Nothobranchius furzeri: one gene and its partners. Each later gene encodes a partner of the first gene's protein in a complex. Links are inferred from orthologs where the notes say so. Each region holds a gene or a part of one and is shown in the gene's direction. Other genes may lie near its edges.

The links. Proteins that work in one complex are often made in the same cells at the same time.
Region 2: ppp2cab (region 1) and strn4 share a complex: the UniProt entries of both Homo sapiens proteins name them as parts of the core of STRIPAK complex. The link is inferred for Nothobranchius furzeri from reciprocal best matches to the Homo sapiens genes PPP2CA and STRN4.
Region 3: the proteins of ppp2cab (region 1) and ppp2r5a are in contact, whole or in part, in a cryo-EM structure (PDB 6NTS), measured with the Homo sapiens proteins. The link is inferred for Nothobranchius furzeri from reciprocal best matches to the Homo sapiens genes PPP2CA and PPP2R5A. Residues at the interface, in NP_002706.1 of Homo sapiens: Arg121, Gln122, Gln125, Tyr130, Asp131, Leu134, Ala140, Trp143, Arg268; in NP_006234.1 of Homo sapiens: Glu146, Glu147, Glu149, Thr281, Lys283, Lys316, Phe317, Trp318, Pro319, Lys320, Thr321, Ser323, Gln324, Lys325, Ser362, Ser363, His364, Phe365, Trp407.
Region 4: ppp2cab (region 1) and stk26 share a complex: the UniProt entries of both Homo sapiens proteins name them as parts of the core of STRIPAK complex. The link is inferred for Nothobranchius furzeri from reciprocal best matches to the Homo sapiens genes PPP2CA and STK26.

What each region holds. Positions count from the first base shown.
Region 1 is NC_091750.1:60,016,872-60,021,040, reverse strand, and holds the start of ppp2cab (serine/threonine-protein phosphatase 2A catalytic subunit alpha isoform), read left to right. Parts: upstream 1-1,368; 5' UTR 1,369-1,523; coding exon 1,524-1,625; intron 1,626-4,169. UniProt on the Homo sapiens protein: Catalytic subunit of protein phosphatase 2A (PP2A), a serine/threonine phosphatase involved in the regulation of a wide variety of enzymes, signal transduction pathways, and cellular events.
Region 2 is NC_091753.1:40,951,228-40,954,743, reverse strand, and holds part of strn4 (striatin-4), read left to right. Parts: intron 1-677; coding exon 678-855; intron 856-937; coding exon 938-1,094; intron 1,095-1,562; coding exon 1,563-1,658; intron 1,659-1,871; coding exon 1,872-1,990; intron 1,991-2,069; coding exon 2,070-2,245; intron 2,246-2,317; coding exon 2,318-2,365; intron 2,366-2,445; coding exon 2,446-2,567; intron 2,568-3,260; coding exon 3,261-3,428; intron 3,429-3,516. UniProt on the Homo sapiens protein: Calmodulin-binding scaffolding protein which is the center of the striatin-interacting phosphatase and kinase (STRIPAK) complexes.
Region 3 is NC_091742.1:7,920,751-7,924,266, forward strand, and holds part of ppp2r5a (serine/threonine-protein phosphatase 2A 56 kDa regulatory subunit alpha isoform), read left to right. Parts: intron 1-125; coding exon 126-322; intron 323-3,516. UniProt on the Homo sapiens protein: The B regulatory subunit might modulate substrate selectivity and catalytic activity, and might also direct the localization of the catalytic enzyme to a particular subcellular compartment.
Region 4 is NC_091742.1:86,838,029-86,841,544, forward strand, and holds part of stk26 (serine/threonine-protein kinase 26), read left to right. Parts: intron 1-2,865; coding exon 2,866-2,934; intron 2,935-3,012; coding exon 3,013-3,174; intron 3,175-3,351; coding exon 3,352-3,408; intron 3,409-3,516. UniProt on the Homo sapiens protein: Serine/threonine-protein kinase that acts as a mediator of cell growth. Modulates apoptosis. In association with STK24 negatively regulates Golgi reorientation in polarized cell migration upon RHO activation.

The sequences.
Region 1 (4,169 bases):
CATCATCTGAGTAGTTTTGTTAAATGTCATTTAGCAGATACAACAAAGTACATTTAGAATGTAAACACAAATCCATGTAACTCGGTTTACAGATGTGGCCGTTTTTCTGTTGGACTGTTTTGTGTGTTTGTCACTACCTGAAGCACGTGGACACAGTGTAAAGCTTAATTTTTATATTGTTTACGCAGCCCAAATAAAAGGACATCATACACAACATACTGAATTCATATCGTAATTCGAGTGAGCAGCGGTGACGTATTCCCTAAAACGAGTTGTAACTTGTTCTTTGATGAATGAGGAGCCAATGAAATTGCAGAGGAAGCTGCTTTGTGAACCAATCACTGAGCTGCTATCATCGGCTCGCCCTGCTGTACGTGAAGTTGGACGTAAACCTAGACCGGAAATGTAAGATTTTATTTGGAGAATAAAGGTTTAATACAAAAGGGAACATTAAAATGAAATAAAAGCTATTGTATGTCCCCAAATTACTCTAAGTAAGAAACAATGGGTTATCTTTTTTCTCAGCTAATCTTTAAAAAAGGTATATTACAGATTCATAATTGGTATATAGCAACTTTTGCATAATTAAGAAGAAGAAAGGTTGTTTTATATAGAGCCTTTATAGCTAAAAATCACAAGGCACTTCACAAGCTCTATAAAAATGTAATTGAAAAAAATATATACACATATATTTTTCTTTATATATAAAGAAATTTAAAATTAAAATAAAAAACAATATTATTAGACAACCACAACTCTGATTCACTGTTCTGTCCTGCTAAAAGACATAAATAAATAAATACAAGCTATGTCATTGTCATGTTTACACTGGAAAGATCTGTTGCATCGGGTGATGAAAAGGCGTTGTGACTGTAATGTTAACATGAGATTTTAAAGCTAATTTTAAAAATCATTCTTCTATTTTGCTCTTTTTCATGTTTTATAAATCACAAATTTCTAACCACTTTAAGGATTAACATATTGTTTACAACTAAAGTAGATGTTTACAATGATAAACTAAGAGTTATTATGCAAGACTGTGTACAAATTTCAGTTTGAATTGAAAAGACTTTAAATTTTCTGACAATTATCTAAAAATGCTTTACTGACACATATCCTGCCATCTTCTCTGCTTTTAAGATACATTTTGAAGCAATTTGAAAAACAGAACAGTCTTTTTAAAAACTCATTTGGTTGTTATGTAGCTTATTTTAAATTTGAATTCACAGTAACGACGTGGTGCTTTTATTTAGAAAGTCTTAACCGGAACTGCTTTGTATAACAACAAACGACTTGATACAAGTGAATCGCCGGCTGGCGCTTCTCCCTCTTCTTCAGTTGTTCCCTTCAGTCAAATCGTAGCGATCTGGAAGTGGATGCATCTGCTCGCTGAGGGTCCTTTAGCCTCTGCTCTGCCCGGCTTGTAAACTCAAAAGAGTAGGGTCTCAAAAAACGGGTAGCAGAGGCGGGTTTTTAACCAAACTACACGCCGCTTCGGTAAGGAAACACAAAAAAAAACAGCAATGGACGAAAAGGCGTTCACGAAAGATCTGGACCAGTGGATTGAGCAGCTGAACGAATGCAAACAGCTATCCGAAGGACAAGTGAAGGCGCTATGTGAAAAGGTGAGATGGAAATAAATTGTTATAAAAAAAACTAACATTGTCTGCAACAGCTATCGTCGTTCAGACATTTTTAAAATGGCGTCGATAGTGTAGATTTCATAGTGAGGTGCGTTTTTTCATAACTTTAGGCTAGGCTACATTAATTACAGCCGCCTGTTTGGATCGTTGCTAGCTTAATTCCAGTCACACAGCATATTTACATCCCTCCTCATCCTATAGACAGCATCCGCGTCAGTTACTGAACCCTGGGAGTAACTCAGCCTTAATGGATAAAATATGTTTAAAAACAATATTTTTATCAGTGCCGCACAAACATGAACTCGATAATTAATTTTATTTTTTTTTCCAGAGGATGTGAAGTTATCCTGTTGGCATGATCTGTTTACATGTTTTTTTATTTATACTTTCATTGAGACAGTCTTGTCTCATTAAAATTAAACGGTACACTATTTTTGGGCAGAAACTAGAGCCTAAAAATAGGTTTAAATTGATCTCACGGGCCTCTGGGATCTATTATTTTAGTCTGACAAATCAATTCAAGCATCTTTATGTGGTTGTTTTTGTGCTCACAGAAGCTCCAAGACTGACGTTTGACCTTTCAGCCACTTCACTGGTGTTTATTTATTTAAGCCAGTTTCTTTGTGATAAGTAAAGGAAAAATTAGATGTAAGATTTCTGCATTGGCTAAATCCAAGTCCAAAAGTCCAACACTGATTCCTGCAGTTTAAAGCCATCCATCCTAAAAAACCTTTGCAGATTTCCAGATCTAAATGATGACCTGATGGGCTAGTGGGAAAATATCAGCAATGATCTTTAATCAGATTCTCTAATAATGCTTTTGTGTTATTATGTTGATCTGTTTTTTGTTCATGTGATAAAACATGCAGGGTTCCAGAATATACCGACAGAAGGCTACGTTTGGATGGGCTTTATTTATCTTTTTACCTGCATCTAGTCTCGAGCAGATCATAAATATCAACATTTTTTTTCTAGATCAGCTGTAATGTTTGCTTCCTGTAGTTTTAAAAATGTCCCCGTTGCACCGTGGGCCAAGACCTCAGTCTCCATGGGTCTGGCCTCAGCTGTGACTCAAATTACTGCTTTGTTTTGTCTCCGTCCGCCAAAAGAGATGAGGTGTTTTGGTTTCATTTATTTTTTATCTTAAAGTGATCGGTTTCATTTAGTCCTTAAAACAACAGAAATGGAGGATATGTTTGGTTTAATGACAACCATGAGGTCAGTTGAACCCCCCCCCCCACTTCATCCACCCCTCCATCTTTTCTCCTGTGCACTTTTGCTAAAATTTCCAGCAAAACACCCACACAACATCCTCCTCACTTTAAAAATAGCAGAGGATGTGATTGATTGTGAGTTGCATCACCAGCAGCACCATCAAAGCTTTGTTGCTACGGAGATCAGACTGTGAGACTGAGGACAGCAGTGTGTTGTGACTCAGAGAGCCAGCCATCTCTGTTATGGGATGTGTGTGTGAAGGAAAGTGATGTGCTATGTAATCACTTCTCAGTCATTTTCTTCCTTTCCAGCTTTCTCAGCAAAAACTGCTGCAGTTTCTTCCAGTAGGTGGCTAAATAATGAAGTTTTATAGTTCAGTCAGCTCTTGGTGGCCTGAATATATCTGGAAAATTAAAAGATTAGTGAATCAATTGGTTAATTACATAGAGAAAATGTGTTGTTCCCCTCTTGGCGATCTTTTTTCTCGGTTAAAATAAAATTAGTTGTCATAAATAAGCTCTTTATTTTTGCCTCACGTAACAAAATGCAAAATTCAGATTTCTGTCCCTATTTGAGTGCAACAATCATGTGGCATCACATAAGGTCAGACAGTGATGTAATGTGTCGATGGTCGCCCTACCTAGAGTACCTCTGCGGGACCCGTTTCAAGACAGAAGCAGTAAGAAAAGCCGTCTGTAGGGCGGCTAAAGCAGTTTAACCTTTAACCACAGTCATCATGTGTGACATCATCATTTCTGGTTGCAGTTTCTCCTCATCATCGGGTGTTATCGCTCCAAGTTGTTGTGTGGAAACACTTTGCTCGTTTTAATGGGATTGCTCTTACTCAGAAAACGCTGACTTGGTTTCTCTGTGCTTGCGCGGTTTGTTGACTGACGTCGTTTTGGGCAGAGCTGGAATTTGGCAGGGCGTGCCTCGTCCTCGCCGCTCTGGCAGGTGTGGTTGGAACTTTAGACGAGGTGTTTACGTAATGGCTGTTGGTATTTTTTCTACACCTGGATTGACATCATCATCATCATCATCATCATCTCTCGTAGATGATGAAGAGATTGAAGAAGAAGGTCACATCTTCATCCAGCTTTATGTAATCTCTGATTAGAGCTTAATCCTGTGCGGTGTTTTATTTATTATTATTATTATTTTTGTGTTGATTGTTATTGCGTTATGTCATCCTAACAATCTAATTTTGAGAAGGATGACTGGTTTCATTTAGTTTTTAGGCGATTGCCTTTGTGTTTTTTAAAGCTGCTGAGTCATCAGGCTTTTGGTTTAAAATGTAACCCAAATAAGCTC
Region 2 (3,516 bases), on another chromosome or scaffold:
AGGAACTAAATTAGATGCTGAAAGAAAATAGACGTGGAAACATTGGGATTAGTAACGCCTGATAGATCTAAGTCACATTTAAAATTAGCGTTCGTGAACTCACCCATCTTGGCTTGTGGCAGGGAATGCTGTTGTTGGTCTAGTGCCCAGAAGAGAGTAGAAGCTAACCTTTACCATTAGCAACTCCATCACGCAGCACAACTCCTCCAGGCTTGTGTTATTTGTGGAGATAAACCATCAATGTTGCAGATCAAGTGGAGCGAGTGGTAGTCACATTACAGTTGGCCAATCAGAGGCAAGATATCCAAATATCAGGAAACAGGACAATACATCCTCACTTCCACTTCCTGAAAATTTTCCCACAGAGATCGACTCACAAGGCATTTAGTTATGTACTTGAAATCCAGCAGCAGAATGGTGAGAGACCCAGAAAAGGGTCCAGCTAGCATCAGAGCATAATCTAATAAATTAGACAGTTGCTTAATAATTAGGCAGACTAAAGGCTGGTTTGCTGCACAGAAGAACCCTTTTCACCCTTTAGTTTGATCAAATATTTATCTGCTGGGTGTGACATCTTGTGTGATGGGTTTATGGTGTCTCCCAGTGCTTGAACCCATTCTGCCGTCCGGCAAACACCGGTGTCCTTAATTATGTTTTCTAACCGTTACCTTTAATAGGAATGCCGGCAAAGAAAGCTCCAAGGAACACGTGGGAAGCTCTGTGCTGGATAAGATCCCCTTCCTTCATGGCTGCGAGGACGACGATGAGGACGACAGCGACGAGGAAGAGGACTTCCAAGGCATAGCCACCGACTGCATCGATGGTCCACGCAAAAGCAAAAAGTCCCGCGTAAAGGTCAGGTCGCCAACGATGAACTAGATTTTAGTAAATTGTTTCCAGCTGTCTCGTGCTGATCCTGCCGTCTTTGCCCGTCCAGATGAGCTCAGAACCCATGACCACAGATCTGGACCACGAGGACGAGGAGGACGAGGACGACTCGGAGGACGCCCTCAGTGAATTTGACTTTCTTGGCTCGGGGGAGGATGGGGAGGGGGCGGGAGAGGCCCGGATCTCGGGGGATGGACGGGAGTTAGGTACGCCGTTGCCGTAGCAACATCACCAACCCCTGCCAGAAAAACACTGCCAACAAACAGTGTCCCTGCCTTTTGTTTGTTTTTGTGCCTCCCCATGCTCACCTTTATACCTCTGATGTCTTCTTCCTGTTGTTTGTGTCTTTGCATCTTTTCATGTGAATAAAACCGACCTCTTTTCCCAACCACCCGTCTCTCTGTCCTGTTTCATGAGCTGTCTGTGGGTCTGTGGAGCTGTGTGGCTGTCACCTTTCTGTGTGTGTGTTCCTGCCGTGGCTCATTTCACAGGTCACCACGCATGCAGCCTCTTACACGCTCACATTCCACTCTTTGGGTCATAAATGACGTGTCTCTCCTTCCCATGAAGATTAAAACCTCTTTAGGATATCTTGTATTAGCGTCCATCCTTCCTCCTCCTCCTCCTCCTCGTCATGACTAGATGTTTTGTCTTTCTCCTCTTGCCGGCTTCAGAGAACCGCAGGAACAAGCTACAAGGCATAATGTCGGACTTCCCTCCTAAACCTTCTCCGCCCCCGGCTGTATCGGGACAGGCTCGCTCCGGGGAAGGTAGGACTTCTAATATTCCACTTTTAAAAACGACTCGCTCTACTTTGCCCGTGTACTCCTCCCACCTACCCACACATACACTTGTAGCTCAAATGTAGATCTGAATCAAAGCTTGTGTGGAGGGAGTACACCTACACCTGCTTCACCGGTAGTGCGGGAGAAGAACACCTGGATAAAAAGATAAACATTTGTCTTTCCACCTCCAACCTCTAGGTGGTGCTCTTGGATTCTCCTCTGACGTCTTCATCATGGATGCTGTCGGAGGAGGGGACATGAACCTCGGGGAACTGGCTGATCTCACCGTCGCCAATGACAACGACCTCTCCATAGATGTAATTACAGATCAGATCTGGTCAACACTAAAACACGTTAGTAACTAAATATGTCCCGATGTGTTTTTTATCCTGTTAGATGCAGGACAACAGAGAGGATTTCAAGAAGACATGGAACCCTCGTTTCACACTACGCAGCCACTTTGACGCTATCCGGGCTTTGACCTTTCACCCCAGCCAAGCAGTTCTGCTCACCGCGTCTGAGGATGGCACGCTAAAACTGTGGAACCTCAACAAGGCCATGCACTCTAAAAAGTGAGAGATCTTTTAGTGGACATAGTCGTTTGATCACAAACTAAAAAGTAACAAGCTCCTGTTTCCCCGCAGGAATGCAGCTTTGGACGTTGAGCCCATCTACACGTTTAGGGCTCACAGGTGAGTCAATTCAGACATTTACAGGTGCCACCTGTTTTACTAGTTACTCGTCATTCACAAGCCTGTCTTTTTCTGTGCAGTGGATCTGTTTTGTCCCTGACCACGAGTGAGGATGGAGAGTCCTGCTTCAGCGGAGGCTTAGATGGAACTGTCAGATGTTGGAAGATGCCCGACCTCAATGTAGATCCCTACGATAACTACGGTGAGTCTTCTCCGGAGTGTCCCCTTGTTGGTAAAAAGCCTGGAGTTTGTAATAATTTATTTATGTGAAGAAAGCTGCAGCCTTTCAAATGCTGAGGTGTTTTCCTGCACTATAAGTCAAAAAGAGAGTTTAATCTACTTAAGTTACATTAAATCGAGTTATTCCACATTTGAAGCACATTCATTATTTTGCACTGAAAAAAATGAATAAAAGTTAGGGTCACTTCTTCTGCTTCTGTTGCAGCTGGAAGTGTCACCCCCTGCTGTTCATTCACGAGAATGCAGCTGAAAGAGGGATCTAGACAGCTACAGCCCCATCGCTGACTGATCTAACACATCTAAATAATTATATTTATTAAACTGTTATTAAAGACTACATCATTTTAAAAGTTTGTAATTTTTTAGAGGAGCCAACAGGAGAAAATGTTACTTATAACCCTTTTATTTTATTTGTTTTTATTTGATTAGATGAGTGCCGGAACCTCATTCTCTCTGCACAGATTTGGTGCTTTAATAGTTGACGGGGAGAGAAAACAGCAGACGTCCTGCTGGATTTCAGCGTTAACGTCTACAGGAAGTGTGTGTGTCGTTAAAACCATAAAAGGCTCAAATATTTGACTGAGGAATCTAATGATTTGAGTTTAGAGACATATTGTTTGAGGGTTGATTAAAAAAGCTTTATATTTTCTTTCAGATCCAGGTGTCCAGAGCAGTGTGTTAGAAGGCCACGAGGACAGCGTTTGGGGTCTGACGTACTCGGCTGTTCACCATCGCCTCGCTTCGTGCTCGGCCGATGCCACGATTCGCATCTGGGACCCTCAGAACTCGTCTCCCTGCGTGTCGGTCTTCAATAAGGAGAAAGGTAGCGATCTGGGTTCAGGAGATTAAAAAACACACAAAACATAGATGGAACAAGGTGTGTTATTAAACAGAACAGCAATTTATTTACA
Region 3 (3,516 bases), on another chromosome or scaffold:
GTTGGCCATGAACACAAACCAAAATGGATCTAACCATACACTTAGGCTCTGCGTCGTTCCTGCTCATTTGCATGGTTTCCTCTATTCAGCTGTGGATGAGTGTAATTTTGTTGTTTTTATTCCAGACGCCTCCTCTGCAGAGCAGCAGGAGCTTTTCACCCAGAAACTCCAACAGTGCTGCACCATCTTTGACTTCCTGGACTCGTTGGTGGACCTAAAGAGCAAAGAGGTGAAGAGGGCCACGCTGAACGAGCTGGTGGTCTACGTCTCCACCAACAGAGGAGTTCTGGTGGAGGCAGCGTATCCGCAGATCGTCAAAATGGTGAGGCGGCGCTCTTGATCATCACCGAAGTCATGTAGACTCATTTAATTTTGGAAATCAACTGACGCAACTGTAAATGTTCAGGAACTTCATAATTTATCTATAAATATTTATTTGATGCTTAAGTTTTTTTAATTGGATTCTCACTTTTTTTCCTCATCTCATGAAATAATTTGCATAACATGAATTATTATGCTAGAAATTACTGAAGTCTTTTATTTAGGCAATTTCATCATTAGATTCATGGCTTTTTTTTTTTTTTTTTTTTTTGCATTTGATAGACCAGATTAATTTTAATCATCTGTGCTCGAGGACCAGAAAACACATTTCGTACCACAGATCTACAGTCAAAAAACTGTAAAGCAGCTGGATTATTAACATCTGATGCCTGGAATCCACACATTGGTCATAAGAAGTCATGTTACACAAATACCATGTTTGATAAACTCATCGACCATCTGTTTTAGGGTGTGTGTGTGCGTGTGCGTGCGTGTGCGTGCGTCCTCCCACTTGATAATAATGAGTCAGGTGCAGCCTTTAGGGGACAACAGTCAGTGCTGCAGTGATGGACTCCACACTGGATTATGGTGCTAGATACCACTGAGCACATCCTCAGCTGGGTCAAGGAGTCTTCAGATTACTGATGGATTGTAGGCAGGAGTTCATGTCATACTTTTCCAGTGATTGCTTAGGGATCCTTTATTCACTTTAAAGTGTAAGAAAGTAGAGGAGGAAATCACGCGGAGCCTCGTGATTTGATGCAATTTAAAAATTATGCATCTTTCTTTTAGTTTTTGTGACCATTTATGACTTTTAAATTAATGTACGTATAACCCAAATGAGTTGAACTGTATTATATATTTTTATGTTTTAATAAGAAAAATAATCAAAACTGTTGTTTTTAAAACATTTTACTTTTGTGACAGTTTGAGTATAAAAGTCCCCCACACAAATAAATGAATAAACATAACAGAAAAGTTCAGCTTCAGTTTACTGAAGTGATTATAAGGCAGACCCATCTATCCACATTATGAATTGTTAGAAGATGATGAAGACTACGACAAAAAAATGACCAGGAAGAGGACAAAAAAAGACAATGTCAACAAAAACGATGAAGAAGAAGACGACAGTGATAAAGAAGAATAAGATGGCAAAGAAAAAGGAGAATTGCAAGAGTGTGTGTGTGTGTGTGCGTGTGCGTGTGTGTGTGTGTGTGTGTGTGCGCGCGTGTGCGTGCGCGTCTGGACGCCGTCAGACGGCTAGGTTAATAACTGAACTCGTGACCACTCGACACTTGGCATCAGACGAGGGCAAAGAGACAATCGCTTCAAGTGCTGCTCTTTATCCAAACGTCAGAATAAATCTCGTTTGAAGGATTAGTTTAGACAAACTGCACATTCAGCATATAGGATTAAAATTAGCACCTTTTTCCCTTTTTTGTTGCTGGTGGCCTTGATTCTCTCACCTTCCCCTCTCGTACGGCCCGTTGCTAGGTGTTGGTTGCCGTCACCCACAGGCAGACGAAGCTTGGCCTTCCTCACCAGCTTCACCTGCAGCTCTCACACTTAAGAACAGCCTGTTCTGAATCCTCCTACATCACTTTCAAACACAAATAGCTGTTTTCGTTCTCCCTTGTATGAAAATATCGCTCACGCCTCTGATGTTTGCCATCCTCCCACAGTGTTTTCTCTTGTTGAGTCCAATTTTACTTATTTATTCTGCAAGGTGACTGAGAGAATGAAATAACTGCCCCTGATGCTTGTGCGGTGGATTATTTGTGTGTGTGTGGTACAACAATACCGTCCCTCCTCTGTGATACTATGTTTAGACCATGCACACACAGTAAAAAGGAAGACTTAACAGGATGTGTGTCAGCTTTATTAAGATTCTGCAAACCCAACAAGTGTGAAGTTCTGGATTATGGCCAGCTGGGTTCTCACGGTTTGTGTTCTATCCTCAGATCTGGTCCAACTTGTTGCTGTAGTTCTCAGTAGGTAAAATTTAGCAAAGTGGTAGGTTTAAAATGTCAGCTGCATCGCAGATTTCTGCCAAAACACCAGGGATCTAGGTGTTTGTTTAGGATAATAATTCAATTCAGTTGATTTATATAGTGTCAAATCACGACGAGTCGTCGTCTCAAGGCACAAAGTAAACATTACAAAATCTTTCAGAGGTCTCATTTATCAAGCTTGCTTGCGCACTAAACGGGGTCGGAAAACTGCGTAAGCAACTTTCCACGCAAACTTTGGGATTTATGAAAGAAAACTTAGCGGAAAAATGTGCGCAACTTTAAGTTGACTAAGGACCTGGCTTACGCACATGTTGGACATGGAGAGCACCTGCAGTGCTGCTGCTGAGAAGGATACAATTATGAAATCCTGCAGCATTATCACTTGTACCGCTTCCTGTTCACACAGAACAAGACCTCACACACACGCGCACACACACACGCGCACACACACACACACACACACACACACACACACACACACACACACACACACACACACACACACACACACACACACAGCCTGAAGCGCAGAATACAGAATGCAGAATATCAGCAGGGGGACAGATTGAGGACTCAGGACTCTATCAAATGCAGGGCATTTATCCTTTTTATTTTTAGAACGCTCTTTGAACAACCTCAGCTTATATCTGCTCACAGCTAGTTGTTAGCTTGCCAGCTAACACTCATAAATATCCATATAATTCTATGTAAATATCACTATGTAAAACACAATGAAAACATCAGAATACACCACAATTAGAGACCAAATTTGTTTTAAGATGACAGAAATCACATTTTGGACTGGCCCAGCTCAGACTAGCTGTTAGCTAGTCAATCTATTTGTGCTAATCTCTGCTGATCCAAATTTAGAACGTTCAAAAAGCATCTGATCAATCAGCAGGGTTCGTCTTGGTGCTTGAAATCCTTTAAAAATGTTTGATAATTTAAAGGTATAGAAAGTGCTTGAATTTGTATTTAAGCACTTAAAAACAGCAACAGAAATTAGTCATAGTCCTAAAATACCAACTCTGTTTTAAAAGCCTCATGTATTTTAAAATCATCGCCAGTGTTAGATGATGGAAAATCTTCAACACTGACCTCGTGAGTTCTTAAAGGGTGCTTGAGCTAGATTTTTATTGAAGTATGAGTTCGCCCCTTCTTTTCCGACAACGTTCCCATTTAA
Region 4 (3,516 bases), on another chromosome or scaffold:
CTAGCAGCTATCCGCTATAAGTGAGTATGGTTGCTTTGGCAAAGATTCATAATCGTTTATGTCCGCATCTTCATGCATCGATTATTTCATTATTTTCCTCAGCTTCACTGAGCACCCCCAGCTAAACAAAACAGCACACTGCCTACAACTTGTTCTGATTGGTTCATTGATGTGTCTGTCATGCCGACAGCTGTGGCAAAAGAAAACAATCTTTTATACAGAGCATCTCAAGATGATGGTCATTAGGCACTTCCCAAATGTATACAAATGTACACAAAATATTTCTAAATATTATTAAAAATATGTTAACAATGAGAAAATTTTTCAATTGTGATTAAAAAATATGTAAGGAAAAGGAGAGAGAAAATTCATAGGAAAGAGGGAAATAGGTGGATCCCAGAAAAGGCGGAATAAGAGCAGAATAGAGAGTGGTGATGAAGGTCACAAAAGCCATCCGGAACAAGTGAGTCTTCAGCTGCTTTTTAAAGGAGACCACTGAGTCCACTGATCTCAGGCTCAGGAAGAGAGAGTTCCAGAGTCTGGGGGCTACAGCAACAAATGATCTGTCACCTTTGGTCTTTAGCCTGGTGCTGCCTAACCAGTAGGCTTTGATCACTGGACCTCAGGGACCTGCTGGGGGTGTAGGGACTAAGAAGATCGCCAATGTAAGATGGTGCTTGTCCATGTAAGGCCCTATAGACCAGAACCAGGATCTTGAAATGAACCCTGAAGTTGACCGGCAGCCAGTGAAGCTGGAGGAGAAGTGGGGTGATGTGGGTGTGTTTGGAGGACTTGGTCAGAAGCCGAGCACAGGCATTCTGAACCACCTGCAGACGGTTCAGGGAGGTTCTGCTCAGACACGTGAAAAGAGAGTTACAGTAGTCTAAGCGTGAGGAGATGAAGGTGTGGAGAACTGTCTCAAGTTCAGAGCGGGACAGAATGGGACTCAGCTTAGCAACGTTCCTGAGATGGAAGAAGGAAGAGCGAACAAGAGAACTGACATGAGAATCCAGGATGAGAGCTGGGTCAAAGGTCACACCAAGATTCCTGACAGAGGGTTTGGTGTGAGAAGCAAGCTGAGCAAGAGAGTCTCTGACTTTGGGAACCAGCAACCATTGGTTGAAAAAATGTGAACCTTAATGGACTGCTTATATCAGAGATTTTTGATGCAGTCCGATATAATCCGATACACTGTTTTTGGGCCAATATCAAATTACTTTCGACATCGATATCGGAACGGGACATCCCTAACTTAAATTTGGTGCCCTAAAGAGAAGGAAGCCCCTCTAGGATCGCTGATCAACATGCAGAGCTGAAGCACAGCAGAGAGGGAGGAGGAAGAGCAAATTTAAAATAAATAAATAAATATAACATTTGTGACTTAGACAGAATAACGACATATAAAATACATAATAATTATTTTTGGGCTGCTCAATTAATCGAATTTTAATCCCAATTACCATCTGAGTTTTGAACGATTATAAAAACAAAACAAGCCGATTATTTGCTCCTCCCACTTGCGCTGCCCGAGTTGCAAATGAAGCGCTCCTCCCACAGCTGTGGTTGGGACAATTATTACATTAACTGACGGATCTGTAAATAAATAGTTCATGAATAAGGTATAAATAAGTTCCTCACGCTGATAAATAATAACTAACCTCTCTGAGGACACGGTGCTAGTGCACTCTCCTACAGCACCTTGACACGACTCATTAAATGTTATGCAACATTTTGTGAACATCACTTTATTTGCATGTATTTGTTATAAATGCCACTGCATAATTCTTGCTGTCAGTATTTGCAAGATATTGGTATTTGGGTCTGTACTGGTTAGACTTAAATGAGTTAAACCAAGCAGTGGCGTGTCCAGATCTTTTAGAATGGGGTGGCCCAGGTGAGGCACAACTTTGTGCATGGGTGGCACCAATGGTTATGCTTTTCTTTTTGTTTTACCCCCAAGCCTTTTGTGGACAATGAAAAGCCTATTTAAAGTTAAATTAGTGTGGTGGTACCTGGGGTGGCCAATCAGATTCCAAGGGTGGCATGTGCTACCCCAGACCACTCCCTGGACACACCCCTGAAACCAAGGTCTATAGCCCTTGGGTCATAAACTATGAGCTATAAGTGTATTGGTCTTTTTTATACTGGGAATCGGGTTATTTTAATTCAATTCAATTCAAGTTTATTTATATAGCGCCAAATCACGACAAGAGTCGTCTCAAGGCACTTCACATAATAAACATTCCAATTCACAGTTCATTAAACCAATCAGAAATAATGTTTCCTATATAAGGAACCCAGCAAATTGCATCAAGTCACTGACTAGTGTCAGTGACTATACAGCAATCCTCATACTAAGCAAGCATAAAGCGACAGTGGAGAGGAAAACTCCCTTTTAACAGGAAGAAACCTCCAGAGAATCCTGGCTCAGTATAAGCAGCCATCCTCCACGACTCACTGGGGATTGAGAAGACGAAGCAGGCCCGCACGCACGCACGCACGCACGCACGCACACACACACACACACACACACTAGTAATGTGTCTATAGGTATATTGTGATGTCTTTTAGTGATCATCTTGTTTCTTATTTATTTTTGTCCTGATTGTGCCCTGAGCAATTTTATGACGGAATAAAAACAAATAAAATCAACATAAATTGAAAAATCGTCCTAAATAATCGAGATCTCAATTTCAGTCACCATAATCGTGATTATTATTTTTGCCATAATCGAGCAGCCCTACTTATGATGCTAATAACTGTCCTGAAGGCATTTCTCTAAAAACTAATTTAGTGTTATATCACAATAATTTTCCATCAAAGGAAACACTTTTAAGACAACATGTTTCCGTTTCCTCTCCTCAGAGTTCTCACGTGGATCCAGAGGAGCTGTTCACCAAACTGGATCGAATTGGAAAAGGGTCTTTTGGAGAAGTGGGTCCATTTTCATCTTTGTTTTGTCTCAGACATTCCATTCCTTCCTGATCCTAACTTTTTATCTACCTCCAACAGGTGTTCAAAGGCATCGATAATCGCTCTCAGAGTGTTGTCGCCATCAAGACGATCGACCTGGAGGAGGCGGAAGATGAGATCGAGGACATCCAGCAGGAGATCACCGTGCTCAGTCAGTGTGACAGCCCATACATCACCAAATACTTTGGCTCCTACCTGAAGGTGAGAAAAGACATAGTTCAGGCTGATCCGAGTCTCGTCGGTGACGAAGGTGTGTGTGAAACAGTTAACAGAGAGCAGCCGTAGTTAGTGTCTGCTGCTGGTTTCCAGCATCTGCTTATCGTTTTCCTTTTGCTGCATTTGCTGTAACTTATTAACACAAATGGTTTTCTTGTTCAGGGCAGTAAACTATGGATCATCATGGAGTATCTGGGTGGTGGTTCAGCGCTGGATTTGGTGAGCGAGCTGGATTTATCTATTCAGTCTGTCTGCAGACAGTTTTTAACACTAAAACAACCTTCAGGTTGAGTTTTATGCTAAGTAGCTGCAGTTTAGTAAAAAAAA